Linked DNA regions of Macaca fascicularis. The protein of the gene in region 2 purifies or fractionates together with the protein of the main gene of each other region. This does not show direct contact. Links are inferred from orthologs where the notes say so. Each region holds a gene or a part of one and is shown on either strand. Other genes may lie near its edges. The genes, in order: CAPZB and CPVL.

Evidence for each region.
Region 1: the proteins of CPVL (region 2) and CAPZB purify together in Homo sapiens (affinity purification with mass spectrometry; 3 studies listed by BioGRID and IntAct, with this or other methods). This does not show direct contact. The link is inferred for Macaca fascicularis from reciprocal best matches to the Homo sapiens genes CPVL and CAPZB.

What each region holds. Positions count from the first base shown.
Region 1 is NC_088375.1:215,592,162-215,607,155, forward strand, and holds the start of CAPZB (F-actin-capping protein subunit beta), read left to right. Parts: upstream 1-8,289; 5' UTR 8,290-8,388; coding exon of another isoform or gene 8,389-8,391; intron 8,392-14,994. UniProt on the Homo sapiens protein: F-actin-capping proteins bind in a Ca(2+)-independent manner to the fast growing ends of actin filaments (barbed end) thereby blocking the exchange of subunits at these ends.
Region 2 is NC_088377.1:101,072,302-101,087,394, reverse strand, and holds the start of CPVL (probable serine carboxypeptidase CPVL), read right to left. Parts: upstream 8,322-15,093; 5' UTR 8,130-8,321; intron 8,040-8,129; exon of another isoform or gene 7,849-8,039; intron 7,764-7,848; exon of another isoform or gene 7,548-7,763; intron 2,826-7,547; exon of another isoform or gene 2,639-2,825; intron 2,316-2,638; exon of another isoform or gene 2,220-2,315; intron 1-2,219. UniProt on the Homo sapiens protein: May be involved in the digestion of phagocytosed particles in the lysosome, participation in an inflammatory protease cascade, and trimming of peptides for antigen presentation.

The DNA.
Region 1 (14,994 bases), on a different chromosome or scaffold from region 2:
TCCTACCTATCTCAATCTGGTGATTCTGAGAACAGATTTTGAGTCAGAAAGATAAAAGTGAGAATAAATCCATCCACGTATTATGTGTGACTTTAGGCAAGTCATTTCATCTAAGCCCCAACTTCTTCTATAAATTGGTCATAATAAAAGTTCTGGCCAGGCATGATGGCTCACACCTAAAATCCCAGCACTTTGGGAGGCTGAGGTGGGGGGATCGCTTGAGCCCAGGAGTTTGAGACCAGCCTGGGCAACATGGCAAAACCCCGTCTCTACAAAAAACATAAAAATTAGCCAGTGGTGGTGGCTCACACCTGTGGTACTAGCTACATGGGAGGCTGAGTTGGGAGGATTGCTTGAGCCTGGGAGGTGGAGGTTGCAGTAAGTCGAGACTGTGCCATTGCATTCCAACCCAAGACCCTGTCTCCAAAAAAAAGTTCCTAGCTCAAAGGATGGTTAGGAGGAGTCTATAACACATGAAAAGTATTTAGCGCATAGCAAGCACTCATGAAAAACTAGCTGTATTACTCGTTCTTTGTCTGTTTATTCACAAGACAATCTTATCCTGTTGATACTATTATCTTCGTTCACATACCTTCATTGAGCACTGATTATGTTCTGGGTGCTGAACACCTAGGTCCATAACGACCAAAAGAGGACTCAGATGCAGAAGAACAAGGTCCCAGAACTAAGCCTTCAGGAAAAGGAAGAACCATCAAAGGAAACTGAGGGGAAACCTTTCCACCTTGCCTCCACTCAGGAAATGCTTATGGGCACCTACTATGTGTAATTGCCATGCTATGTGCTGGGATGTGGTAGCCTTACTCATCTCAGGCAAGCCAAGAGAGGTACATGAAGGAGGAGAAGGCAGGAGTAAGATGAGGCTCCAAAGTGAGCACTGGCTTCTGCAACACCGAGTTCCCAGGCCAGCTTGAGTAGAGCAATGTCGCTTCCTGGGCAGGTCAGGGCAGAGGTCTGATCAGACTGACTTGAGGAGAAAATGGAGCAGGTGTAGAATCAACAACTGCAAAGAATTTACAAGGTTTTGGTGTGACTGGGAGCAGAAAAATGGGGGAAGTGGCTAGAGGGAGACGCAGGATCCAGGAGTTTTGAGTGGTGGTTCTTAAAACTTTTATTTTATGATAGGAGCTATTAGGGCATGTTTTCTGAAGAAGATGGGAATGATCCAGTACTGAGGGAGAAACTGGTGACTAAGGAAAGAAGGATTCAGAGAACAAGTGGAGGGGTGACTCTGATAGGAACAAAAACGCTTCATTTATTATAAAATCTGGGGAGGCAGAGATTGCAGGGAAAGTGCAGATATGTTGGTAGATGATAATCTCCTGTCTGGGGAGAGGGGAAGGAAACTCAGTGGTAGGGAAGAAATCAGTGAGAAGTCAGTAAGATTTCTGGTGGATTATGCTTACGGGTACTGAAGTCCTAAAAAGTGTGGAAGGGGAGATGGAGGTAAGTTCATGAGAGCGAAAAAAGGGGTGGCAGGTTGAAAAATATGACAGTATGAATTTCAAGGGGGTTAGGGTCTTTAAAAGAGGATGAGAGGAGAAACAGTGCTAAAGATATTTATGGTCTGGATGTTGTGGCTAACACCTGATATCCAAACACTTGAGAGGCCGAGGCAGGAGGATCACCGACCAACATGATGAGATCCTGTCCCTATTTAAATTATTTCTGTGAAGTGTGAGGCAAAGCCATTTGCTTAGAGAGAAGGATGCCAAGAGGACAAAGGAAGCTTAAGGAGGAAGAAGGTTGAAAAATCATAATTTAAGAATGTGAGCAGTGGTGGGCTACAGCGGGGAAATACAGTAGAATTGCTAGGCAGGCTTGAAGGCTCGTTTGAAATTTGTGGACCTCACCTTAAAGGAAGAGAAATCACTTTCAACTTTCCAGCAATATTCAGATGGTTTTTTTTGGTTGTTGTTTTGTTGTTTGAGACAGAGTTTCACTCTGTCACCTCAGCTGGAGTGCAGTGGCGTGATATTGGCTCACTGCAACCTCTGCCTCTTGGGTTCAAGCGATTCTCCTGTCTCAGCTTCCTGAGTAGCTGAGATTACAGGCGCCCACCACCATGCCTGGATAATTTTGTATTTTTAGTAAAGATGTTTTTTCCCCATATTGGCCAGGCTGGTCTCAAACTCTTGGCCTCAAGTGATCTGCCCATCTCAGCCTCTCAAAGTGCTGGGATTACAGACATGAGCCACCTTGCCCAGCCAATGTTCAGATGTTCTGATGCAAAAAAGGTGGGGGTAAAGGGGTTATGGGCTTTCGTAAGGGAGTTTGTATAATACTCATTACTAAGCTGGGTCAGGAGGGATGTGAGCATGAGGGGGAAAATGAATGTGAACATCTGGCAGGGACAAAGGTTTGCAGACCTTGATGAGGCTGAAGAAATAGTGAGGTTGAGGAAATGCTTTTGTGGTGATACTATGGTAAGTGGGTTACAGTCAGATTTGAGATCTTTTGTGACTGTGATTTCTTTTCTCTTCTCTTCTCTTCTTTTCTTTTTTGGAGACTGGGTCTCACTCTGTTGCCCAGTGGCGCAAACACAGCTTACTGCAGCCTCAACCTCCTGGGCTGAAGAGGTTCTCCCACCTCAGCCTTCCGAGTAGCTGGGACCACAGGTACGTGCCACCATGCCTGGCTAATTTTAAAACAATCTTTATGGAAATGGGGTCTTGCCACGTTGCCCAGGCTGGTCTCAAACTCCTGGGCTCAGCCTCCCAAAGTGTTAGCACTAGAGATAGGAGCCACCATGCCTAGCCAGTGTGATTGGGATTTCTGAGATAGTGCAGTTAAAGGTGAGAACAGGCCAGGGTAAGACCACAGGAGTGGGACCTGGGGAGAGGGGAAGGAAACTCAGTCGTACGGAAGAGATCAGTGAGAAGTCAGTAAGATTTCTGGTGGATTATGCTTACGGGTACTGAAGTCCTAAAGAAAGTGTGGAAGGGGAGATGGAGGTAAGTTCATGAGAGCAATAAAAGGGGTGGCAGGTTGAAAAATATGACAGTATGAACTTCAAGGGGGTTAGGGTCTTTAAAAGAGGATGAGAGGAGAAACAGTGCTAAAGATATTTATGGTCTGGATGTTGTGGCTAACACCTGATACCCAAACACTTGGAAGGCCACGGCAGGAGGATCACCAACCAACATGGTCAGTTCCTGTCCCTATTTAAATTATAAAGTTATTATTATTATTTGGATACGAGGGTCTCCCTCTGTTGTCCAGGTTGGAATGCAGGGTGCAATCACGGCTCACTGCAGCCTCAATCTCCTGGGCTGAAGGAATCTTCCTGCCTCAGCCTCCTGTGTAGCTGGGACCAGGGGCACGTGCCACCATGCCTATTTGATTTTTTTTATAGAGACAGGGGTCTCACTTTGTCACCTGCACTGGTCTTGAACTCCTAGGTTTAAGCAATACTCTCACTTAGGCTTCCAAAGTGCTGGGATTACAGGAATGCCTGGCCAAAAATGCCTGGTTACCATCCCTGGCCCAAAAAATTTAAAATAAAAAAAATTTACAGTGCCTGTCTACCAATTCACAACCCCTTGTAGATGACCATGTTTAACGCCACGTGCCTCCATGCTCATAGCAATAGCTGACGGATCTAGGGGCAGGATCTGAGCAATGGGCAGCCAATCTGTGGAGTGATCTGTCCAATGAATGAACTTTCCTTCATGCTTGGCCTCCATCCCTTGGCATCCAAGAGGGACACCACCTTTTCTTGGTCCTGTTCCTGCCACACGGGTCATTCCTTCTCAGTCTTCCTGCTGGTTCCTCTTTATCTTCATGACCTCTTCTCTCTACATTCACCCATGAAGTGAGTTCATCAAGATGTCTATGCTTTCAAATATCTTTAAATGCCATTTACTAGCCAGCAGTTCTCGTAAGTTTATCACAGCTCTGACTTCTTCCCCCAAATCCAGACTTCCATATCTAATTACTTACTTGACATCTCCATTTATTTATTTTTATTTTTATTTTTTGAGATGGAGTATCATTCTGTCACCCAGCCTGGAGTGCAGTGGCGCAATCTCTGCTCACTGCATCCTCCACCTCTGGGTTCAAGCAATTCTCCTGCCTCAGCCTCCTCAGTAGCTGGGATTACAGGCATGTGCCACCAAGCCCAGCTAATTTTGGTATTTTTAGTAGAGACAGGGTTTCACCATGTTGACCAGGCTGGTTTCAAACTCCCGACCTCAAGCGATCTACCCGCCTCCCCAAAGTGCTAGAATTATAGGTGTGAGCCACCACGCCCACCTGACATCTCCATTTAAATCTCCAGTAGGAGGCTGGGCGCAGTGGCTCATGTCTCTAATCCCAGAACTTTGGGAGGCCAAGGCGGGGTCAGGAGTTCGAGACCAGCCTGGCCAACATGGTAAAACCCTGTCTCTGTTAAAAGTTCAAAAATCGGCTGGGTGTGGTGGCGCACGCCTGTAGTCCCAGCTACTTGGGAGGCTGAGGTGGGAGAATTGCTTGAATCCAGGAGATGGAGGCTGCAGTGAGCCAAGACTGTACCACTGCACTCCAGCCTGGGCGACAGAGTGAGACTCCATCCCCAAAAAAAAAAAAACACACACACACAAAACTCCAATAGGCATCTCAAACATAACTTGCTCCCTCTTATCCACAACCCTCCCCTCAGAAAAACCCTGCTCCTCCTACGGTCTTCCCGAGATCAATAAATGGCAAATCCATGCAGTGTTAAGCCAAAAATCTTAGCATCAGGCAAAACTATGGAGTAAAAAGATCAGTGGTTGCCAGGAGCTAGGGGGCAGGGGGATGAAGAGGTGGAACACAGGGGATTTTTAGGGCAGTGAAAATATTCCATATGATGGTTCTAATGGTGGCTAGATGTAATTATCCGCTTGTCCAAACTCATAGAGTGTATAACAGAGTGAACCCTAATGTAAACTATTGGGTGATCATGATGTATGAATGCAGTTAATTAATTGCAACAGATGTACCACTCTAGTGGGGAATGGGGACAATTCGGGGGGGCTCTGCATATGTAGGGCAGGGATATGTGGATTATCTCTATATCTTCCTCTCAATTTTGTTGTGAACCTAAAACTGCTCTAAAAAACAAAGTCTTGGCTGGGTGCAGTTGCTCATGCCTGTAATCCCAGCACTTTAGGAGGCTGAGGTGGGAGAACTGCTTAAGCCCTGGAGTTCGAGACTAGCCTGGGTAACAGTGCAACTCAGTCTCTACAAAAAAATCAGCCGGGCAGGGTGATGCATGCCTGTAGTCCCAGCTACTCAGGGGGCTGAGGTGGGAGGATCACCTGAGCCTGGGGGTCTTGAGGCTGCAGTGAGCTATGATTGCACCACTGCACTCCAGTCTGGGCAACAGAACTGAGACACTGTCTCAAAACAAACAAACAAAAAGACAAAGTCTTTTTATAAGAAGAAAAAAAATCTTAACATCATCCTTGATTCCTTTCTTCTCATGCCTACCACCAATACATCAGGAAATATCTAGAATACTATCTACTTCTTGCCATCTCCAATGCTACTACCCTGGTCCAAGCCAGCTTCATCTCTCTGCTGTGTGACCTTGGGGCAAGGTCCTTACCTTTTCAGGCTTCTGTCATGATTAAATGACTTATTATCTGTAAGGTGCTTAACAGTGTTCATCACATAGGATGCGCCATATCAGTGCTTTTTATATAAATAAATATCCTCAATATAGAAATGTCTTTCTAAGGCCCTAGTCCCCCTACAGTCCATTCAGGACACAGCAGCCTCATGATCCTTTTAAAGCCTAGGTCAGATCTTGCCATGGCTCTGCCCTTCAGCTCCTGCTGGACTTAGGCTAGCCACACTGGCCTCCTGTCTGTCCCTTGAAAACACACCAGTGCTGATCCAGCACAGTCCCACCTTCAGGGTTTTTACCCTTGCTGCTCCTCGTGCCTCTGCTGTCCACATGGCTTGCTCCCTCCTTCCCTTCAGCTATATGATCAAATACTGCTAAGTTAGGCCTTGCCTGCTTACCTATTTGCTTGCTTGAATTTTTCTCATTATCTCTAATCACTACCCGACACTGTGTTACTATTATTATTTTATTTTTGAGACAGAGTCTCACTCTGTCTCCCAGGCTGGAGTGCAGTGGCGCGATCTCGGCTCACTGCAAGCTCCACCTCCCCGGTTCAAGCCATTCTCCTGCCTCAGCCTCCCCAGTAGCTGGGACTACAGGCGCCCACCACCACCCCCATCTAAATTTTTGTATTTTTAGTAGAGACAGGGTTTCACCCTGTTAGCCAGGATGGTCTCGATCTCCCGACCTCGTGATCCGCCCACATTGGCCTCCCAAAGTACTGGGATTATAGGCGTGAGCCACTGTGCCTGGCCTCGGACACTGTATTTGCCTGGTGGCCGACTGTCTCCCTGACAACACTCAAGCTCGGGTTGTTTTGCTCATTGCTGTATTTCCAGAGCCTAGCACAGTGCTTGGCACATAGCAGATGCTCAATAAATACTTACTACTTGTGCCATTCTCTTCTGTGAATTCCTGTAATACTCATCCAATACCGTTCTTGCGAGACTTACCCGTATGCTTTTTCTGCCAGTGGCTACCTGTGAAAGGTTTTACTTGTCTATGAGCTCCCTGAGGACAGGGCCTGGCTCAGGGAAACATTCCTGTCATCCGTACTGTTTACCATCCCCTCACAGATCGCCTAATTTGATTTAACCAAAGCAAACAGGCCACGGAGGGCAGATATTATTAGCAATCCAGGTTTCCTGCCACCTAGACTAAGCTCAACAAATATTTGATTGAGAGAGAGAGAGAGAGGAGAGAGAGAGAGAGAGAGAGATTGGGAGAGAGAAACTTGAGTCATCTTGTGGAGAGAGGAAGCCCGTCTGGGCAAATGGAATGGTTCTCTGCAGCACATCCAACAGTACTCATAACAGTTAGCATTTGTTGAACTTAATTTTCTTTTTCTTTTCTGTTTTTTTTTTTTTTTTTTTTGAGACCGAGTCTCGCTCTGTCACCCAGGCTAGAGTGCAGTGGCCGGATCTCAGCTCACTGCAAGCTCTGCCTCCCGGGTTTAGCCATTCTCCTGCCTCAGCCTCCCGAGTAGCTGGGACTACAGGCGCCCGCCACTTCGCCCGGCTAGTTTTTTGTATTTTTTAGTAGAGACGGGGTTTCACCGTGTTAGCCAGGATGGTCTCGATCTCCTGACCTCGTGATCCGCCGGTCTCGGCCTCCCAAAGTGCTGTTTTTTTGATACAGAGTCTTGCTCTGTCGCCAGGCTGGGGTGCCGTGGCGCGATTTCGACTCACTGCAACCTCTGTCCCCCGGGTTCAAGCGATTCTCCTGCCTCAGCCTCCCGGGTAGCTGGGGCTACAGGTCGGCACCACCAGGCCCAGCTAATTTTTGTATTTGTAGTAGAAACGGGGTTTTACCACGTTGGCCAGGATGGTCTCCATCTCTTGGCCTTGGCCCACCTCGGCCTCCCAAAGTGCCTCGCCTCCATAGCAGGCGTGAGTCACCGCGCCGGGCCTGTTGAACTTAATTTTCTAATCTCTACCTGTGTCATCCTCACAGCTATTCTGTCTGCAGCTATACGTGCAGGGATCTTTATGTCTTATTATTCATCTGTTATCTTCCGGTGCCTAAACAAGGCCTGGTACATAGTAGGTGCTGAATAAATGGTGTCAGCCCGAGGCTCCTGAATTCCTGCCCGGGCTCAGGTGCAGCGCGGCGCTCCAGGTCCCGCCGTAGCGAGCGGCAGCGCTGGGCTCCGGCCCAGCTCCCGGCGCGCTCGCCCCGTACTGGGATGGGCTGGGCTGGGCTGGGCCCGGCCGGGCCGGGCCGCGCTCCGCTCGGCGGCAGTTCCGGGTGCGCCGCAGGAGTGAGCGCGTGCACGGGGTGGGGCGCAGACGGCAGGTCGCCTCACAGCCCCGGTGCCTTCCGCATCCCCGCCCGCGGGGACTGTGGGGCGCGGTTCCCTCGCCGACACCCGCTGCTGCAGGCCCAGAGTCGGGTACTGGACCTCCAACAGCGCGGACACCCCTCCGGCCCGAGCCCCGTACCCCGGGCCCGGAACCCCCGGCAGGCGAGCCGCGCCGCTCCCCGCCCCGCCGCGCAGACCCCGCCCCCGCACCCCGTCGGCGCCCGCCTCCCGCGCCGCTCTCCATACTTGGCGATCGCCGCAGTCCCGCGCGCTCATTGGCCGCGAGCTGGCGGCGTGGGGGGCGGGCCCGGGCCGGGCCGGGGCGGGGAAGGAAGGTGGCGGCGGCCCGGCGCGGGGGGAGGGGGGCGCTGACCCGGATGTTCACTCCTGGGCACCCGGGGAAGTGGAAGCGCCGGGCCCTGCTGCGGGGGGGAGAGCCACTGACGCCGGGACCGGGACCGCCGCCGCCGCCGCCACCATGGTAAAGGCCGCACGGCCCCCTCCCCGGCCCGGGGGCCCCTCCGGAACTCGCGTCCCCCTCCCCCGGCCCATCCGTGGCCCGGGACTGGTGGCTTCCCGGGGTGGGGGAGGGGCGGGGTCCCGGACCCTGGGTGGACCCGGTCCCTCCCCGCCCAGGAGGGTGCCGCCGGCGCGGACGACTTGGGTGGCAGTGACCCTGCCCCCGCTCCCAGCCCTCGCCCTTGGCACAAGCTGGAGTCCCACTCACCACCTCTGTGTCCAGGCTGGTCTCTCCCATAGCCCAGGCTAGACCCTCCCTCCCGAACCGTGGCCCCAGCCAGGCACCCCCCCCCCCGCGGTGACCCTGGCGTGGGCCCCCTTCCTCCCCCGGTCTAGGGCTAGGTCTGCTTTCCCCCGTCTCTCCCGCCCAGGCTAGGCCGTCGTTTCTCCCTGCCATGGCCCAGGCTAGGCCGCTGCCTCCCTCCCTCCCTTGCCTTCTCCATGGCCTCAGGCTGGACCCCGGTCAGCCCTTCCTGCAGCGGTCTAGGTTTGCTTCCCCTCTTCTCCGTGGCCTCAGCCTGAATCTCCTCATCCCTCTGTGATCTTAAATCTGGACCTCCTCTCCTCCGCCCATGGCCCCGCCTGGACCTCACTGCCCCCTCCCCACCGTGATCCCCTTCCCTGGACTTCTCGCCACTCCTAGCGTAACCTGCGTCAGCCCCGCTCGGTCTCCGCCCTGACCCTCTCATCAGGGTTCTGCCCCCTGCCCCGTGCACGACCCAGGGTACCCTTCCCTCTACCTGGGGCGCGCCTTCTTTGCAGCCTTCGGGAAGCGAGGGGAACTCTCCAGCAGGGATGGGGTGGTCCCGGTGCTGTGCCTTCTCAGTTGCCCCTTCTAGGGAGGCCGCTTGGGAGCCAGCGAGGGAAAGGCGGGCATCGGTGTGCCCAGAAGGCAGCGCGCTGCGCTGCGGGCCCTTCTCGAGGTCGCCGCCGTGGGTGCTGTGCTTGCGAAGCGTCCTGCAGGGCGGGCCGGGGTCCGCGGCGCCCAGGCCTGAGTGGGAGCTGAGGGCTGAGGGTGGGTGGCCCACAGGACAAGGATGAACGCACAATCGCCCTTGTGAGGCCATGGCCTTGGGGGGCCAGCAGGCCCAGGATCCAGCATATGGCCTGGACACCATGCACCCGAGCAGGCGCAGCCTCCCCTTCCCTCTGAACTGTCAGCTTGTAAGGGTGGGAACTGCTGATTATGGAAGTCCCTTGGATCAGGTGAGCAGAACTCCGAGGGAGAGTGCTGGCTCCACTCGTAGTGTTTGATTTGGTAAAGAAAGCAGATGCTATCCAGACTTTTGAGGAACCTGGGGCTTCACATAGGCCCCCACAGATAGACCTGCACTCCTACCTCTTGATCATTCCGCAGGACAGGCCCAGCACTTAGGTTGGAAGGGCCAGAGAACTTCCTGACAGGGTCAAGGGATTTTTGGAGCATATTTGTATGTGGGCTTTGGGCCTCAAAGTGTTTTGAGGACCCTGGTTCCTTGTTTAGTCAAGGGATGTTGCTGCTGAACGAGGGTGAGGAGTTGAGATGAGTTAAGCTTTCTTTTGATACCTTCCTGTATGCTGATTAAAAACAGGGGCAATGCCACTTTTAAGGCCTTCGGATTTCTCCAGTGACGTTGGCTGAAAACTCCTTGTTTGGGGAGGCCTTGTTTTGACCCCAGGTCTGGGTGGAGCACGACTTCTCCAGGGCAGTGTTGGGTGAGGACTTTGAAAGTGGGCTGAAGTTTCGTTACTGAGTGTGCACTGAAGACAAAGTATGCGGCAGGAAGCGGTGATGCTCCCCAGGTGATGGGAAAGTGCCCCAGTCCCCCAGGAGGAGCACATGACACCTGAAGCTTCTCAGGAGTCTTGCACTCAGCTGTCATCTGAAAAGACTGGAAAGGGTGGAGGAACTGTCTGTCTGCCAGTCACTGTGGTGTGCTTCACCTGTACAAGCTGGTTTCATCCACACGAAGCCCTTCTGGGGCTGTCCGCATTTGATAGATGAGGCAGCTGAGGCTCAGGAGGTGCAGTGACTTATTCAAGGTATTGCCCAGCCAGTGGAGGAACCACCGTTGGTCAGTAGAAGCCCATCTGGCAGCCTCTAAACTGTTATTCCCATTGTACCAAGCTGCTTATATGTCAGGAGGTTTAATGACACCGTTTGAAAAACATAGAATGGGATATTCAAACATGGCAAGGGGGGAGGAGCAGTATTTATTGCCCATGGTTTGTATTTTAAATCCTTTGTATAGAAAATCATGTTATAGCGAAAGAGCTGTATGGTGGTACAGGCATATTTAGCATGGGCCAGAATGAGCTCTTGGAGGGCAGAGATTTTTGTCTTGTGTATTCCACAGCTGTATCCGTGGGGCCTAGAACAGCACCTGGCATTGGAAGAAACCACTTGGAATGTTCTCTTTGGGATGTGTCTGTGTCCATGAACTTACCTGCTTGGATTTCATATTCATTCTCTCAGTCACTTGTTCTTCGTATCCCTTAGGCTTGTAATTTCTGACTGCTTATTGTTAGGTTTATCCCCTATTTGAATACTCTGACCATTAAGCCAGTGTAGATGGTTGGGGTAGGACAGAAGTGGTGGTGTGAGGTTGCATTGAAGGGAAATGAAATCAGATCACCGTGTTTTTCATTTTCAGTAGATTCGATGGTAAAGAATACAGCTAGATCTCTGTTACCCATTGAGGGAAATAGTGGCTTGAGAATCTAAAAAGCATTTGACTTTGGAGTGAATGCCATGATTTTTGTTGGCATGAGTTTCTCCTTCTCAGTTAAAATGCATAGGCAGATGGAATTTATTTGCATTCCCTTAGCAGGTAATAATCTTACCACTGCTTGAGTGCTGTACAATTTCAGAGCACCGTTCCTTTCGCAGCTCCAGCTTCTGACTTGGGAATTATTCTTAGTTATGATGATGGTGAGGCTTTTAGCAGGAAGGTGGACTAGGGAGGCCCCTTCAGGAATCGCTGCTCCAGCTCACAGATGGTTTTGCCTGGCAGGAGCTGATGGGAACTTGGTATTGTTACAAGGTGAAACAACATAGTTGACATTAATGTCTCTTGGTGTGGATAAGATACATTGTTCAACTCACATCCCTCTTGTCTGTCTATACAGCCCTGTTCATTTGAGCCCACCTGGCCTCTTTTTGGTGGCATGCTTATAAAAAGTAGCCAGCGATCAATGGCTTGAGATTAAGGAAATGATAAGCCATGCCTTTGAAAGCAGATACTCCTATTTATAACTCAGACGTCCTATACTTTTACATTCCATTCCATGAGTCGAGGAACAGGACATATGACTGACCACAGGGAAATGGTGGCAGGGCAGGTGCCTCACCCATTAGAAGCCTGCCCTCAAGGCTGGGAAAGGCTTATTGTTAGGCAAATACTGAGGCACGTTGTGGGGTACCTGAAGCTACAGGGTCATGTTAATTCAGCTTTTTGTGTATCAAGTGCCTGCTCTGTGCTGTTTATGTGTGGAGGATGCAAGACAGACAAGGATCTCTGCCTTCACGGCTCACATTGTTGAGGGGTGAGCATGTCACTGTTACCTAAAGTTTAAGGGGGAAAGAGCCTTGTTCGTGTAACAGCAGGCACATCTGCTTGAGCTATGGCAGGAAACTGAAGAGAAAGTTGGGGCTGGTGCCAGGCTCCACTCCAAGGCCTTTTGGGGTGTGCCTGCTCTTGTGTCTGCCATTGGCTGGAATTGCATTGCACATGCACGCAGTCCGCTCGCTCCTTTGCACAGCCAAGGCTTTCTGGGGTCCCAAAATGAAACCTTACAGTACCGTGGAAGTCCAGCCTCTCCAGTCTGGGTCGCTTTGTCCAGCACGTCCAACCTGGGTCGCTGAGGGACCTGACCCAGAAACATGACTTAGGTTATAGCCCAGCCCCCATTTTACTCACAAGAGTGAGAGCTTGAGTGACCGGTGTGAGCAGCAGGCCTGGGATTCGGATCCACGTCAGCCTGACTCACTGTGTTGGACCCCACTCACTGTGTTTTCCAGAAGCAGTGAGCAGAGGGTCCCATAAATACAGGATCTTGTCCCATTTCCCCTTGTAGCAGATCCACCAGTGAGGGTGCAGTGTGGAATTCCAGGGGGTGCAACTGCAAGATCACCCACAATGGGACCAGCTAGAGCCATGCCATTTCCAGACCTAGGCTTTCAGAGATTCACGTCTCAGTGGAAGGAAGGGGAGGCTTAATGGTTATGGAGCATCAGCCATGTGCTATGCACTCTGTTAGAACTGTCCTCACCACAGCCTGACAATGTAGGTTCAACTTTAGGCTGGAGGCAGCATAGTGCAAGAAAATAGAGTGAGGAGCCAGACTGCCTTAGGATAACGGTACCTCTGCATAAGGTTGTAATGAGGGTTAAGTAGTATCTGTCAAGTGCATCCAGTAGCATCTGGCACATGATGTTGTTATAAACATTAACTATCGTTATTATCGCCATTTTCCAAAAGTGTGCAAAGGGGTTTATGGTGAGTCCCTGTCTAGCTACTACGTGGAGGAATTGGGTTTTCTGACCCCAGAGCAAACCATTTTTCTCCACTCCGGACTGCCTGCTGGTGGCTGCTTTGGAGTTTGCCTGGCTCTGGGCTGTGCCTTGAATGGACAACTTCCCTAATAGAGCCTGGGGCTGTTTTCTCCACTGAAGACAAGCTGGCTGTGAGCGGGGCACCATGTGTTGCCAGAGCCCCATGCTACACGTCAGGCCCGAATGCCTTGTCTGTGCCAGTGGAACCCCCTGTGACTGGAGGGTGCTTGCCCTATTCCAGGCTTGGAAGAAGAGAGACAGGGCTGGGGACAGAGCGTATGAGCTCTGTGAGAGCAGGGACCTTGTCTGTTTGCTTCCCTCTGAGTACCCCACACCTTGCGCTGGCCACCTGGCACTTAGTGAACACCAGCTACGTAAACGCTGAGTGAGAGCTGAGAGGCGGCTCCCTGCTCCACAGAACATGGTGTCTGCAGTTGGGCACATCTGGAGTTGAGTCCTGTCTGCCACTCAGCATGTGACTGCCAGTGAGGCTGCTAATTCCCTCGGTGTCTGTTTTCCTGGTCCGTAGCATGAAGATAACGTTTTATAGGGATGGGGGGTAGGGGTGAAATTTGTAATGTACTTACTCCAGTGCTTGGCACACAGTAGCTATGGTTGTTGCTTGTCTTATTCTGCATACCACAGAGTAAGGGACACAAATAGAAGCCATCGTCCCTGTCCTCTAATCCAGGATGGGGAGGCAGGATGTGTCCAAAAAGCCAAGTGCAGCAGGAAGGAAGTAGTACTAGAAAAGACTTAATCAGGGACCCATGGGTGCTGTGGTCTGCCCATCCCTGCAGGCCTGGCTTGCATTTCCCCCTCCTCCATGCAGCCCTGCAGACCACTCCAGCCCACGGTCGGCTTGGGGGCTGGGTAAGGAAGCCTGGGAAGAGCGTGCTCAGGCAGAGAGAATGGGGTGGGGTATGGTCAAGGGGACTGGCACAAAAACTGAGGTCGGGGGTGTGGTCAGACAAGGAGTAGATGTGAGCCCATGGGGTGCCTCAGTCTCAGGAGTGAGTTGTAGAGTGCCTGAGTTGCTAAGCTAAGGAGTTTGCATTTGATCTGGGACAGTGTGGAGCCAGTGAAATTTTTGACAGGGCAGGTAGAAATTCGAGGAGGCTGGCAGGGCAGTGGTATTTTAGGAAGAGTCCTCTGGCTGTGCGTGCAGCAGGCCTGGGGGGTGAGAGAGACGGGAGAGAGGCCTTCACAAGCATCAGCCTGTGAGCTTATGAGGGTCGTGGCCACTGTGCCGCTGTGGGCGTGGAAAGGAAGGGATGGTGGAAGGAGATAAAGGCAGAGGGAGACGGAATGATTTACCACCTCTGGGGCTGAGGGGGTCTGCCCCAGAGCTGTCTCATGTAGGCGTTCTGATTGGACAGTTTATCATTGATACACAGCTATTTCAGGTCAGTTTAAATCCTAGATAGTGGTGTCTGCAAAGCCTTGAGATCCTATTAACAACTGAATGGGGATTTCGGTCTGGTTAGCCCAGTGATCCATCCAGCCAGCGACTCCGTGACTGCAGGTGGCACCAAGTTCAGCCTGATGCACACAGCGTTAGGTTCTGGTGCCTAAGACATCAGTCTGCTGAGGGAGATGGGGGGGTGGTGGGCTGTGTGTGGCAGCTGTAGGAATAACAGGAGCTAGTTTTTGTTTGTTTGTTTGTTTGTTTGAGACAGAGTCTCACTCTGTTGCCCAGGCTGGAGTACAGTGGCATGATCTCGGTTCACTGCAACCTCCATCTCCCAGACTCAAGGAATTCTCCTGCCTCAGCCTCCCAAGTAGCTGGAACTATAGGTGCGCGCCACTGTGCCCGGCTACTTTTTGTATTTTTAGTAGAGATGGGGTTTCACTGTGTTGGCCAGGCTGGTCTCGAACGCCTGGCCTCATGATCTGCCTGCCTCGGCCTCCCAAAGTGCTGGGGATTACAGGCATGAACCACTGTACCTGGCCAGGAGCTAGTTTTGACTGATGACTTTTTAATATTCCAGCCAGCCCTATGAGGCATATTCTCATGTCATCCTCATTATG
Region 2 (15,093 bases):
AATAATCTGTCTATACTTTTATTGAAATCTACTTTGAAATTCCACCAGGTTTCTCACCCAATGGGACGGGATAGGGATATGTCCAGATGTAAGACATTATCATCTAGTGGGGTATGTGTGTGTGTATGTGTATGTGTGTGTGTGTGACAGAGAGAACTTGAGAGAGAAAGAGAGAACTTGAGTATGCTCTTTTATATTATACATGCCACTTCCTAAAGATTCTGATGTATGGCCAGGCACGGTGGCTCACACCTGTAATCCCCGCACTTTGGGAGGCCGAGGTGGGCGGATCACCTGAGGTCAGGAGTTCCAGACCAGCCTGGCCAACATGGAGAAACCCTGTCTCTACTAAAAATACAAAAATTAGCCAGGTGTGGTGGTGTAATCCCACCTGTAATCCCAGCTACTTGGGAGGCTGAGGCAGGAGAATCACTTGAACCTGGGAGGCAGGAGCTGAGATTGCACCATTGTACTCCTGCCTGGGCAACAAGAGCAAGACTCCCTCTCAAAAAATAAAAATACAAAATAAAAAAAGATCCTGATGTGTTGTCAACATCCACTTTCTCCCCAGGAATCAACACAGTTAAAAACTACCTGCTGTGCAGAATATAATTGAGTGCTAATAACATTACTGTTGGGCATACATTCATTTACATAAATATGAAGTATATTATTGTCTCCATTTTACCTGATGAGGAGACTGAGAATATGAAAGATTATTTGTCCAAAGTCACCAAACTGTCTGTAGCTAAATTAGGATTTGAACTCAGATTTATCTTCAAAGCCCAGGCCTGGCTCATATGACTTAATATACTTGCATAGAGGTGATGTAACATGGAGGTGATAGGGAGAGATGAAAATTACTTTTGCATCAGACCATAATTCTCACAGATTACTCCAGAGAAGCAGATGTGAGCACGCTATACTTTGCTCTAAGGAACAAAGGCCACCTAGAATTCCTAACTGGACTTCTATGCTTTAGACACTGGATTACATCTATCACTTCATTCGATCATCACCAAGTCTGTAAATAGGGGTTATTAACCCATTTCAGAGATCAAGAATGAAAGATTAAATAATTTGCTCAGGGTCACACAGCTAATAAATGACGAGCTAGGATTGAAGCCCAGGTCTTTTTGACTCCATACGTACATATTAAACTTTGCTGGAATCATTTTTACTTGCTCTGTTTTACAGACAATCTGGAATATTTGTAAAAGACCAAAATACGTTTTCTGTATCAGAAGATTGGCTCAGATATTGTGTCTGTTAGCTTTCCTTCAATGCCCATTTACTCTCCCTTTTTTTTTTTTAAGAGGATTTCTGTTTTGTTATTGAACGTATAGCTGCTACAGGGAAAGAAATGAAAATATTGATTCAGATTTTCTTGGGGAGTGAAGGCAGAGGACATTCAGAGTACAGTATCTGCTCTGTTCCCTGGGCTGACAAGCTAAAACTGTGGATGAGAAAAAAGGAACTGTCTAGAAATAGGCTTTGAGGCTTGATTTTGGACGTTTTGTTAAAAGCAACAACAACAAAACTGCTGAAAAGAAAGTCGTCACCAGCATGGACAATACCTATAATTCCCAAACAGAAATAATTTCTATAGCTATTTTAAAACTTTGTCCCAGCTGAAATGTAAATGTCACAGGAAGGAGTCGAGGTTGTTTTGTAGGATCCCTCACAGCAAGGGTATAGTTTTCCCTCATGTCTTTTTTTTTTTTTTTTTTTGAGATAGAGTCTTGCTCTGTCACCAGGCTGGAGTGCAGTGGCGCAATCTCAGCTCATTGCAACCTCCGCCTCCCAGGTTCAAGCGATTCTCAGCCTCCCCAGTAGCTGAGATTACAGGCGCACACCATCATGCCTGGCTAATTTTTATATTTTTAGTAGAGATGGGGTTTCATCATGTTGGCCAGGCTGGTCTTGAACTCCTGACCTCAAATGATCTGCCCACCTCAGCCTCCCAAAGTGCTGGGATTACAGGCATGAGCCACCGCGCCCAGCCAGTTTCCCTCATATCTTTATTCCCCAGCCTCCTATACTCCCTGGCACATAATGAGTGCTTAGTCAACATGACTGAGTGAATTAATGAATGCTTGAATAAACGGACAGGTAGCCGAGAATAAATATATACCGTTATGAAAGCAAATTTTCATAGAAAAAGAGTATAAGGCCTAGGAACCCCCCACCCCCCCAGAAGACAAGAAAAACAAACTCACTCCGTGCTTTTGCCCAGAGCAGGCTTACAGCTGGCTTCGCTTCAGTTTATCCTAGATTTCTCTTAGGACATTGAGGACAGAAAAGATGTTTGTAATCTAAAATGTCAGGGAACAAAGCCAGAGAGTGCAACATGCAGAAGAAAACATATTCAATTAGTTTCTGAATGCTATCCTGTTTTTCTCTTCAAACAGAAAGAAAAACTCTCTCTTTCTTCTCTCTCTCTCTCTCTCTGCCCTTCCCCCCCACACTCCCCTTCTCCCTCTCTGTCTTTCCAGTCAAAGAGACTGTAGCTGATGGCATGCCTTAAGTGTCTGCATGTGCCGATCTGATCCGCCCAAGCTAAGTGGCCAAATAGGATACTCCAGGCAATACCCCTGAGCCCCGCTGCAGCTCCGTGAGAAAGACGATGCAGGAATACCTGTGCCTGCGTCGTGTGCCGCCACTAGGGGTCCCCAGCAGCAGGCGATGTGAACTGGGAATTGGGTAGCAGAGGCGGCCTCCCTTTGTCTGCACTCCAGGTGTGGACTCCTCTTTGTTCAGAGGCAGGGCCGCTACCTGCGGCGTCTGAGCTGCCTGCTCACTAAGCCATCCTGGGCCGTCTGTGCACCTCCTAAGGAAACAGCGGGTTTCTCAGCTCCTGCCCCTAGTGACGCCTGCCTCAGAAGAGCCAATGCGTTCTCTTTCTCAGGACTAGGTGTCTTTGTATTTGAAATAAGGCTTAAACTACAGAGCGAAATATTTCTCACTACAGCAAAAGAGCATATTGATGTTGAGAAATTGATGGCAAAAGGACCACTTTCAGGGTATGGTTGAGTATTTGCCATAAAATATTTAAAGCTAGTTGACGAATAGCCCCGCTATTCTCCTGTGAATGCCGACCACTAGATTAATCTTGAAAGTAAGGAATACGGTATTTCATTCCGTGTTTAGCACAGGGAAAGGGAATGACCTTCACTAAGCAACACCCCAGAGTGCCTGCAGTGAGGGAGCACAGCCACACTCACCCTGCAGTGCTTTCTTGTCTGCTTTTAAACTTCAAAAGAATGGTGAAACAAAATAAACAAATTACACCACAGTAAGAGCTACCCTGCAAACAATAAATCATGTGAGTTGTAACAGCCGGTGATGGAGGGTGGGGTGGGGATTGCAAATATTTACTCCATCAAAATTTTATTCTTATGTTTCACCGTTTCAGTCTTTTTTGTTCACAGCAAAGGTAGTATCCTTAAATGACCATCAAGTTCTTTTTTTGCTGCCAATGTGTTACTCAATGTCTTGTAGCTCAGTAGTCACAGCTACTAATGTGGAAAGTACTGGCATACAAGAGAACCATTTACAGATGTCCTTAATTTGCTCATTTATTCAAGAGTAAACTATTGAACAACATCCACTGAGCACCTATTGTATGCAAAGTATGGTAGACAATACAGGGGCTGGGCAAACAAGGATCCTGCTCCCACCATGCTTTTTTTTTTTTTTTTTTTTTTTTTTTTGAGACAGGGCCTCACTCTGTCTCCCAGGCTGGGGTGCAGTGGCGTCATCATAGCTCACTGCATCCTTGCACTCCTGGACTCAAGTAATTCTCCCCGCTCAGCCTCCCAAGTAGCTAGGACTACAGGTTTACTACAACGCCTGGCTAATTTATTTTTTATGTTTTTAGAGATGAGGTCTCATGTTGCTCAGGATGGTCTCAAACTCCTGGCCTCAAGGGAAGGGATCCTCCCACCTCAACTTACTGAGTCACTGGGATTATAGGCATGAGCCACCATGCCAAGTCCACTATTAATGGACTAAGGAAATGAAATATATACCAAAAGTACCATTAAAATGAGAGCACGAGATCTGCACATTGAGAGGTACAGTAGATGGGCTAGAGAAATCTAACAGAAGAAGAGCTATTTTCTGCCTTGGGAATCAGGGAAGACTTTCCAGAGAAGGTGCATTCTAGTTGAACTCTTTTAGTATGGGAAGCATACTAAAAGGATGGGAAGCAGGAAGGAATGGCAGAATCCAGTGCTGCTAGCCCCAAGGGCATAGGCCACTGTGAAAGAGGGTTGCATTTGTGAAAGGGGGGAACAGAGATTAGATTGGAATGGTAAGTTTGGAAGGCTTTGAATGCCAGATGAAAGCTAAGTTAAAACAAAACGATAATTTCTATTCTTAAGAAGGCCACATTATCCACAAGACTCCTTTTATCCCATAAGTCTTTTAATATTTGGAGACAAAAGGTGGAAATGTCTTTAAAAATTCTACTTTCCAAACACCTAAGATTTCTCCTTTCCACTGACAAATAGGTATTACCTAGAATTAAGGCAATACATAAATGAATAAAATAGATGATAACTTTTTCATTGTTTCATTTGGAGAAATACTTTAGAAGGTCCACAAACAGGTGCCTGAGCCTACCAAAGAGGGACATTAGCATTTTATTTCCAGCATGTCCTGATAACTTACTGATACTAGACATTTTTGCAAGGAGCAGCCAGCCTTTAGGCTCCCGAATCTAAGAAGGATGATAGTGAATTATTATTCATATTGAGTTTTCTCCATTGGTTATGGCTTTATCAATCCAGATGATCAATCAACTTTCAGATTTTAGTTCTGAACCTGGAGCTTTCTGTTTGGTGTTCAAAATAATGGATGTCAAAGTAATAGCTCATCTCCTACCGACAGACTGGACCTCCCCGATCAGCACATCTCTGTTCAGCAAGCATGTTTGTTGGCCTTGTATCCCTCCTCTGGCCCCAGGATCCAGGAAAACATGAGTCTCAGCTTTTTTCTACTTCTGTACAGCACAGGGTGGCCTTCAGGTGGTGCCTTCACAGCAAATACTCCCCTGTCCCTTCGTCTGTCAATTTAGGACAATAAAAATAATCTGCCTCACAGAGTCATGCTTTACTTTCTCCAGTTAAAACTCTATGAAGGCAAATATGAGTATCCAAACTGCAGAAACAGAATCTGTTGTCCTTTTGTGAAATTTCGAGATGAATAATGAAACCTGCTACCCTATTGCACAATTTGGGACAAGAAATATAAGCTATAGGTTGAAGATAAGACATTTCCCCCTAGTAGAACAGGTCACAGTTGATTAGTTATCTCCAGATGCAATGAAGAAAGCAAAAATTGTTCAAACTATACATTCCTTCCTTAAAGTGAGCAACTTACAATCACTTTGGAACACAAACGTCATGCCAGGTACACTGCAGCTTTCCACATAGCGTCTTATTTAATCTTCACAGCATCCTGTGTTATCAGATTTTTGAGGAAGGTGAAGAAACTGAGGCTCAGTAGGTCTAAGTAATTTGCTCAAGGTTGCAGCTAAGTAACAGAGCCAGAGTTTGAACCCAGTTGTCTTCGAAGCCCAGATGGTAAAAATTCGACCAGGCAACATAGCCAAGTCAGATAGTCCACCATCTAAAGACCTGGAGGGATACATAAATTACTAGTCAAACAAGTAAGTGCTGTTTTCTACTAGAAGAACTCTGGGGAAACAGTAAGTTCCTTCTGATCTAATCCACAAGCCAAGTGTGTGATGGGTCACGTGTCCCTGAAGCCTCCAGATTAGGAAATGCATGATTTCATGCAGTCCACAAAATAAAGAAGGATAGTGGTAGGGGGCTGGGAAAGCGGGGGTGCTTGGGTCTCCTTAGACCAGCCAGGGCTGTTTCAAGGTCCATACAGTTGAGGGTCAGGAAGACACAGTCCGACATGACTGAAGAGTGCTGACACGCCTTTAACAGTTTAGCAAGCTGTATTTTTAAAAAATGGACCTTAATGGGAAGACACACTGGGATAGCATCCTGGAGGGACTTTTTTTTTTTAAGTTCTAATCAACTAGAAAATGTGACGTGGGTGCGTACTGTGATTATTTAACATTCATTATTCACTGTATGTTAGGTGCTTGGTTGATGTGAATCCCCAGGGCCTAGCTGCTGTTCTGTGTCACTCCTGATAATTTTTAAATTGACTATGTTCTTTTAACCATGTTTTAAAAAGTTGAACTACCCCAATGTGAACACTTTCCATTTTTGCTATATAATGAGAGTATTTTCATTCCTTTAATGCTTGCTTTTCCCTTTGATCTAACAATTTCTCTTCAAATTTCACAGTTTTCTGTTGCTTTAGGATTGAAAGAACAGATTAGCCCGCTGGGAGCGTGAAACAGATTTAAAAAAAATCTGCATGATATTTCCTCCCAGTGAAATTAATTTAGGTTTAAATACAGGGGGAAGGGGCACACCTTGTCCTCGAGTCTCTTTCTGTCACACACCTGAGCATTTCCTATCCTGAAAGGGCACAGTCGGACTTGCTGCTAAGTCAAGTCTTTTGTGAGAATCTTTTTTGCAAGGCACAGTAGGAGAACCTTTTTCTCTTTGACACCCGGCTTTGTGTGGGCCTGATGACACGTTTGGACGGCTCTATTTCTTTGAAGGCCAACCTCAGAGGCCCATGGACGCGTCGGGCGCTGTCCGTGGCTGGGTTACTTAAGTGTAGCTGGGTTGGCTTCCCGGGTGTTTTAGGAAACGCACCTTCTTGCAGGGCAGGGGCCGTCAGTTCCAGAGCAACAAAGGATAATTTGGAGGGGAGTGGAAGGAGCGCTCCACAGTGGCTCTGTCATCCCAGGTTCCCTTCTGCCTAGCACCGTGGCCCTAGTGATCCCGCCTTCGCCCTCTGGATCCCCCACCCCCACTGTCTCGCTGCTCCAGAGCCCAGCGGGGCGCGGCGAGCCCCACCACCTTCCCCCACACCCTCCCTCCCCATCCCCTTCAAACCCTACGAGCAGCGCTGCGCGCCGCAGCCGCGCTCGCCCCGCGCCCCGCGCCGGCCTCCCCAGCACCCCGGGGACCCGGTCCCCGGTCTCGCCTCCCCGTGTCCAGCAGTTCACAGCCTCCCCCTCCAGCCCCACTGGCGGGAGCTGTCAAGCCCGCGGTAGCCGAACCAGCCCCCGTGCGCCCGCGTCTCCTCTCCTTCCTTTGTGTGTGCGCGAGCGGAGTTGGGGCGGAGGGAGAGGGGGAGGTCGCTCTGTCTGTCCGTCTACCGCCGCCTCTGCCCGGGCTACTCGAAGTGCGGCCGGAGAGGCGGGAGCCCAGGAGAGGGTGCGGGAGCTGGCGGGGCGGCTCGGGGCCGCCGGGACGCCCTGGTCCTAGTCGCGCACAGGGTAGCGCGGCCGGCAGAGGGGCTCGGCGGGAGCCGAGATCCGCCCGTCCCGGCCGCCCCTCGGCCTCCCTCTGCTCCCACCTACCCCCTGACACCCGGAGAAAAGCGTGCAAACGCGCGGAGCGGGACGGAAACCACAAATAAATAGCGGCGGCGGCAGCGCGTCATCTGGTGGAGCAGGAAGTGCAGGCAGAGTCCGGAGGCTGGTGCTTTCTGCGCGTCCCCAGGACTTTGCCATGGGCTGGGGGCCGCGGAGGCTGCGAGCGGCCGGGCGAGGGCAGCGGCTGCGGCGCCCGCACCGGGGCTGAGCGAGCAGCGACGCGAGGGGCGCGCGGAGATGGCAGCGTCCAGCAACTCCAGCCTGTCCGGCTCTTCGGTGTCCTCCGGTGAGTTTCAGCCCGTCGGGCGCGGCTGCCGCGCCGGGTCTCGCCCCCTGCCCTCGCTCCGCACCCTGGGATGGACAGAGCCTACCTGTGGCCGTCCCGCCCGCTCTCTTGGAGTGGGGGCAGGCGTCTGGGGTGACACTTGTTTGGTTCGCTAGCACCTCGGTGCCCAGAGCACCTCCGCGCCTGACATCTGACAGCGCAGAGGTGGGAGAGCGGTGGTGCCCTTAGTGTGCGGACGCGGGTGTTCTCGGGCTTGGGGTGCAGCGGGCGAAAAGCGAAAGGAGCGGGCAGGCTCGCACTTTCTGGCGCAGCTGGAGCGGGGGCTGGCGGGGCGGAGAAGGTTGGGGTCAAGCTGAGCGCCCGGACCTGTTTGCCGTGCCTCGTCCGCTACCCTGGACACCCAAATCCGGAGCAGAGGGGAGCAAACCCTCGTTCCTCGCAGACTTGATTTTCTTTGTTTGTTTCAGAAATTAGCTCTGTGGAGACACTCGCTTGGGCATGGGTTTGAGACAGCAGCGATGAAGGGATGTGTCTTTCTGATCCTGATTGAAGTGGGTTAGGGGAAGGGAGGTCGAGCCCAGCCTCTGACTCTTGGCATATTTACAAGTTGTGTGTGTGTGTGTGTGTGTGTGTGTGTGTGTGTGTGTGAGAGAGAGAGAGAGAGACAGAGAGAGAGAGAGAGAGAGAGAGAGAGAGACTCCTTAGACATTTTCTAATAATACTGTCTGTAATTTCACCAGCAAGGCATACATTTTTTTATTCCTTTTAAGTAAGGTTGAGCAAAGGGAAGGCTTCTTTCAGCTTTTCTATGGTTGATCCTCGGGTCTAATTGAAGAGAAAAAAATTGCTAATGAATCTGAAGGAGTAGGAATCAATAGAAGCAGACCCACTGGTTTCTGAGTATGACAGGTTTCTAATCAGAATGATGCATTAGATAGAATTCCTCTACCTCTCTGGTCATTGAAAACTTTAATGACAAACCCAAAAGGACAGCTGATAAGACATTTAGTGTAGTATACGGTATTTAAGGGTCAAGAAGGTCATGAAGTCCTAATGGAAGTGTTCAATATATTAATATTGTATTAAGTCCCATTGGGCTGTTTTTATTATTATTCACAAATTAAACTCAAAGGAATAAACACCTTTTTGGAGGCATTGGAGAGCAAGCAGGGCATAAAGGCAACCACAGCTTTCGATGTGTAACTCACTAAATCATAAATGCAAGGTGAATTTGACTAAGGTGCAATTGTGATGTGGTACAAGGTGATCACTTGAAAGCCATCTGTTATCTTTCTTGGCAGGTTTAGTTCCTGGGAAATGGCACTTCCTTTCTCGATCACTGCCAACTAATCGAAAACATGTCGTTGTTAGGTGTGTGACATAGTTCAAGTTTCTAGTAGTAGCAGCCAATGAGGCAGAAGTCATATCTTATTAAGAGCAGCAACAAGTTGACCGCCGTGGTTTTAATTCTGAGAACTCAGCAAATGCTACAGTTTATTTTTAGTACCCTCAAACCACTGCTGCTGTTTTTCAATTCATTTTGGTTGACTAACATTGAATTGAAAATACAGTGGTGTTGGCTTTCTATTAGCATATGGTTATTCCTCTCAGAAAACTGCCCACTAGAAAATGAACTGGTGGGGCAAAAGAAAAGACGAAAGGAGAAAGGACAAGGAGGTGGTGGTGTCACATGATTTACTGGTGGCATGAATTACAGCTGCTGTGGCATCTGAATTTCCAGATCTTGATGTAGCTTAAGAAGCCTGATTGAAAATCCTAACAGCCTTCGGAAGAATACATTGGTTTGAAACAACACAGTATGAGATTTAGATGATGTTAATTGCTTTCAGATAGGATAGAGATGCCCATGATGGTTCTTTTTCCTGCTTTATTTACCCGTATTTTTAATCCTAAGGGAAACTGGGAAATTATGTAAAAACTGAAATTCAAAAAGTGGGCATGGATGTATTGTTTGGCATGAATCAACCTAGCCCATGAGTTTATACTGCCTAATTCCCCAATTAATCAGGCACTTTGTCTTGAAAAATACAGCATTGTAGTTCTCTTTTTAAGCACACTTACCATTGTGTGGATCATGAATAATTCAGATGACACAAGCAATTCACACCTGTGAGAGGTGTTGGGCAGAAAGAATAGAGCCTATTTGTGGTGGCAGCTGGGCTCTCTCAGGCGAAGGCCAGAACCTGAGAAATTAGGGCACTCCATCAGTCTATTAATCACTATTTTCAAGGGCCTACTATGTGCCAGGCAGTAAGTTACAAACCTCAGCTTCAAGAAGGCTAAGGGGGAAAGATAATTATAGGCTTCCTTCTGGCTCTGAAGTTCTGGGAGTATTGTCTTTTAATTCTGGCTTCATCACCAACCAGCCAGGTATCTTGAAGTGCGTTACTTAACTTCTCCAAGCCTCAATTTCCTCATTTGTAAATGAGGCTGATACTGATGATAAGACCTACTTCATAGAGTGTCTTGGGGATTGAATGACATAATGTATGTAGAGTATTTAGCACAGGGCCCAGCATTTAATAAATGCTTAATGTGAATAAATTTTACTTCTTCGAGGAATGAAAAAGAAGGCATTCATGGGCTCAGAATTTAGGTGCAGACATGAATCCAACACACATACAATCCACTTCTTTCATCATATGTTAAATTTGATCTTGAATTTTGGGCTTCATTAAATAAACATGCGAGTGTCTTTCAGGTTTCAGGCATAGTCCCGAGTGTTTGGCATGGAAGGATGAGTCAAGATCCTTTTCCCTTATGATCCAGCAGCCGAGACAAACATGCAAATAGCAACCTCTACTCCAGTTTGATAAAACAAATTCTGTGGAGGAGGGTGCAGAGGAGAGGGATTGACTTAGTCAAATTAGAGGGGTCAGTGGGAATGTCATACGAGTTGGGCCTTGAAAGCTGAGTCGAATTTTTCCAGAAGACAGATGGAGAAAAAGACGTTTCAGGAAGAGAGAAGAACTTAGGCAAAGGCCTGGAGATGGGTAAGTTCATGGCCTTATTTTGACTTTCTTTCTTGGGGCCGTTGATCCTTTTGCACTTAGGAAAGTTATGCTTACAGGCCCATAAGCAGCATCGTGCACAGAGCTGCCAGCTCACTCATTGCTGCTGCTGATGTAGGAGGTTTTCTTTCTGTTCAGGTAGCAGTGGGTTTGATGGAACAGCTCTGGAAGCCGTAGGACATTTGGGCAATTGAGCACTGAAAAAGGAACAGTTGATTCTGTAGTGTCCAGCATAGACAGAGGTGAAGTCAACATGGGTTATACCTCTCATAGAGGAATAGCAGCGGGAGATTTAAGTATGTTTGTGTTTGCAGAGTTAAGATCTAATAATTTGCTCAGCATTAGGTCAAAGTTACCTGATTTTCCTGAGAATTTGCTCTCACTAGCTGCTGTTGAGCTACGTCACCCAAATGTGTCATTTATTTTACGGTACCAACTGAGACATAACAAATGAAATAATCAGATTACAATTAATTTTAAAATACATTTTCTGAGAACTCTTCACGAATTTTCTTCTGGAATATTCAATTATGTGTAAAAGAAATTGCTTTACCTTTGTTTTAATGATAACCACTGGTAATTAAATTTCACAATCACCTGGATTGGCAGGAAGCTTTGATTACCTTTATTATTTTAAATTGCAAAAAAGAAAAGTTCTTATCCTTAAGCTTCTAATTTAGCCTGTGGTACTTTATTATATTCTGAAATAAACAACAGCCAATTTGCAAAACAGTCTTCTTAATAATCATGGGTTATGTTTGCTTTTATAATTGAAATAAGAACTTTTTGCATATTAGCAATATGATTGCCAAATGGATAATTTCAGAGTCAAGAAAAAAATCAACCCAAGCAAGTCAATAAATAAAGAAGATATGAGATGTTCTCAGTAACTGAAAAAGGTAAAACATTAAATATTAAAGGAACCCCAAGGATAAGAAGTTAAGATCTGGAAACATAAACACACTGTATTATCAAAATAAAATTGACACAGACTTTTAAAATTAAAATGCAAACAGAAAAAGGTAAAAAGTCAGTATTAGGTGCAGTCCTCAAAACCTTAATTGGGAAAAGAACATTCCTGAATGGATTGAGGTATTCATTTCTTTAGATTCTATACAACAGTAATGTGGGCCAGGTAAATCATGCTGTTTTCTGCTGTCACACTGTTGTTGATGTAGAAACAATAAATAGGAATTTTCATTACTCATTATTGGGGATTCATAACCAGTAACATAGGTAAGTCTTCCGTATTCCTAGATGCAGACGGCAAAACTGAACTATAGTAATTCTGGCAAGACTTATGTATGTCTAACTAGAAATTCTCTGCATCCAATACTACAAAACAGGGTATTTTATTGAAACAGACATTCTCACTGAGAAGTTTTCTTTTGGACTTTTGGATTTTTCAGAAATTTTCTTCTGGAATATTCAATTATGTGTAAAAAATTGCTTTGCATTGTTTTAATGATAACTGCTCAATAATTAAATTTCACATCGCCTAGATTGGCAGAAAGACTTGATTGCCTTTTTTATTTTAAATCACACATGCACAAATTCCGATTTAAAATATGATCTCAAATAAAACACTTGCAAAGCTAAAATTAACTCTGTGAGAGAAATTATTCACTCAGATGAGGAGTACTAGTCCTTGTTGTTTTTCTCCTGAGCATTCCACACCTCATTTTAACTTACTAGATTTTATTCTCCACTGTAGCAACTCAGATGAACCGAGTGATAGAGTCTGAGAGGTAAGGAGATTTTTCTTAGCATGCTACATATTTGCAGTGTTTGACAAGGGGGACCCAACGATTTGTGAACTTGTGCTGAAACGCTGGTTCTCCCCACTAATGCCATGAAGTGCACTGGGTGACCCTGTCATTTGCCTAACTTTTGGGGGAATGTGAACACCAGGTATTTTCCATGGCCAGTCTGTGCAGGGTTTAGCTGGACAGTATGTTCTGAGAGCTGCCACTTGGGGCCTGGCCTGAGTGTCAGCCCTGCTGAGGGCCATCTGCTGCTGGGCAGGGTCTCCCATTTTTGCACAATGGTGAAAATAAGTGGACATTTGGTTTGGAACACCTATACATGAGCGGTGTCACATAGAAATGCTTTGGAAGAGTTTTCTGCCAGAAGATCAAGATTCCGGTCAAGGCAAATGCAGACAAAAAGACATGAACCTAGTGATAGACAGACATATGATTAATAGCATCCCCTATCACCCACCGATCATTTATCTTTTATGAATGTATGTATTCTCATTTCATGGCTTCTGAAATATGTCATTTAATTTTCAAAACAAAATGGCTTTTTCCCCCTCCCTCCCTCTCTACTTTCTTTCCTTTCTTTCTCCATTCTTCCCCTCCCCTCTCCCTCTTTTCTTCCCTCCCTACCTTCCCTCCCCGCTCCCTCTACCCACCTTCTTCCCCTTCCTTCCTTCCTTCCTTCCTTCCTTCCTTCCTTCCTTCCCCTCCTTCCTCCCTTCCTTCCCCTCCTTCCTCCCTCCCTCCCTCCCCCTCCCTCCTCCCCTTTCCTTCCTTCCTTCCTTCCTTCCTTCCTTCCTTCCTTCCTTCCTTCCTTCCTTCCTTCCTTCCTTCCTTCCTTCCTTCCTTCCTTCCTTATTTTGTCTCTTTTTCTTCTCTCATCTGTTGTTGGTCAGATTTCTATTTAGAGATGTTTTCATCAATCCCACATTTGATTTTCTTTACTGTTCATAGTTTGCAAATCCTCTAGGCACCTTCCTGCTTTTCCTTCCCTTTGGCCCATGGGGAAGGAAGCTGGTATTCTGTCTCTCACATGGATTCAGGTTAGGGGGTCAAGATGGATACCTGTGTCTCTGGTGCAGGCTAGTTGGTGTGACAGAACACAACGATGTGTCTCCAAGCTACAAATAAATGCAGAGGTTTATTTAAAGTCTCCATGGCTAGAGGAAATGGCAGTTAGAGATGGGCCGGCCCTATAGGTAGTGTGCTCTGCAATGGGACCTAGGTGGCTCTCTGGGACCTGAAGCTGAAGAATTGGGATGAGTATATCATCCACTGGCCACAGACCTTTCAGCTGTGCTTTCTGGGAGAGCCAGCCACTAGCTGCTTGTGCAAATAACCTGCCTTTCTCCTCATTTATAATTAATCATACACCTTTGTGAGACTAATCTGAATCTAGTCTGTATAGTATGAACTAATTGTAGCATTCCCTTGCTTCAACAATTTGGCCTGTCAAAATCACTCAACCTCAGCCTATTTGTAGTGCAGTGTAAAGTATTATTTTCAATCAACCAATATTTTAATGTCCTAGGAAATAAGAGCTGGACTGACTAGATTGAGAACAAGGAGGAACCTTGGTAGTTGTTTAACAGATTCCACATTGTATAAGAAAATCAGAGCCCCAGGAACTCAGAAACGATCTCATGCCACTCAGTTACTTGACAGCAGAGCTAGAGCTGGAACTGTCATCTAGGACCCAAGCTCCTGTGACATTAATGCTCCCCGCACCCACTTCCTGGCTCATCCTAAAGAGTAGCATCATCCTTAGAGAATTTCTTGTAGACTTTTTTTTTTTCTTTCTGGCCTCATAGAGGCTGCTCTATTTAATTACTTAATACTTTCAAAAAAGAAGTCATAAAGTGCTTTATGTTTTAAATGGACCTCAGATCTCCAGGCTGTTGTGCCCATAAAGGCACAAAGATTTAAGTGGCCTAGGTCTGCCCTAACTGTGTATAGCTGTGTTGTCCAGTATGGTAACTACTAGTCACATGTGGCTATTTAAATTTAAATGTAAAAATATTCAGTTCCTAAATAACCCTAGGCACCCTTCTAGTGCTCAATAGCACACATGGCCAGTGGCTGCCATATGGGACTACACAGATACAAAACATTTTTATCATTTTTTTACAGGAAATTCTCTAAGACAGAGACAAAACTAATGTAAAATCAACAAGCTAAAAAGAGAAAATCTGATCCAGTGCTCTCCCATTGCTGTGTGTGCTTCTTGTGCTGTTTAGGTTATCTTTCACTAATTTTGCAAATTGACTTTTTAAAAAAGTAATTTCTTTATGACCTTGAGGGAAACTGTGAAATGACAGCTAGAGGATGATATTGGGGAGGGTAATTAAAAATGTTTATAAACTCTCTAGTCCTGAGGTATGATTCAAGCTTTATTTAAAAAGTGATTTCTTGTTTCCCTAATGGCAACTCAATTTCTTTTTCAAATAAATCCACAGTGAGTTCTGATTTCACCCTCAAAGAGGAAAAAGTGCCCATGTCCAAAAAACGTTTGGATCTTACCGTTGTATCTCCTTTAAA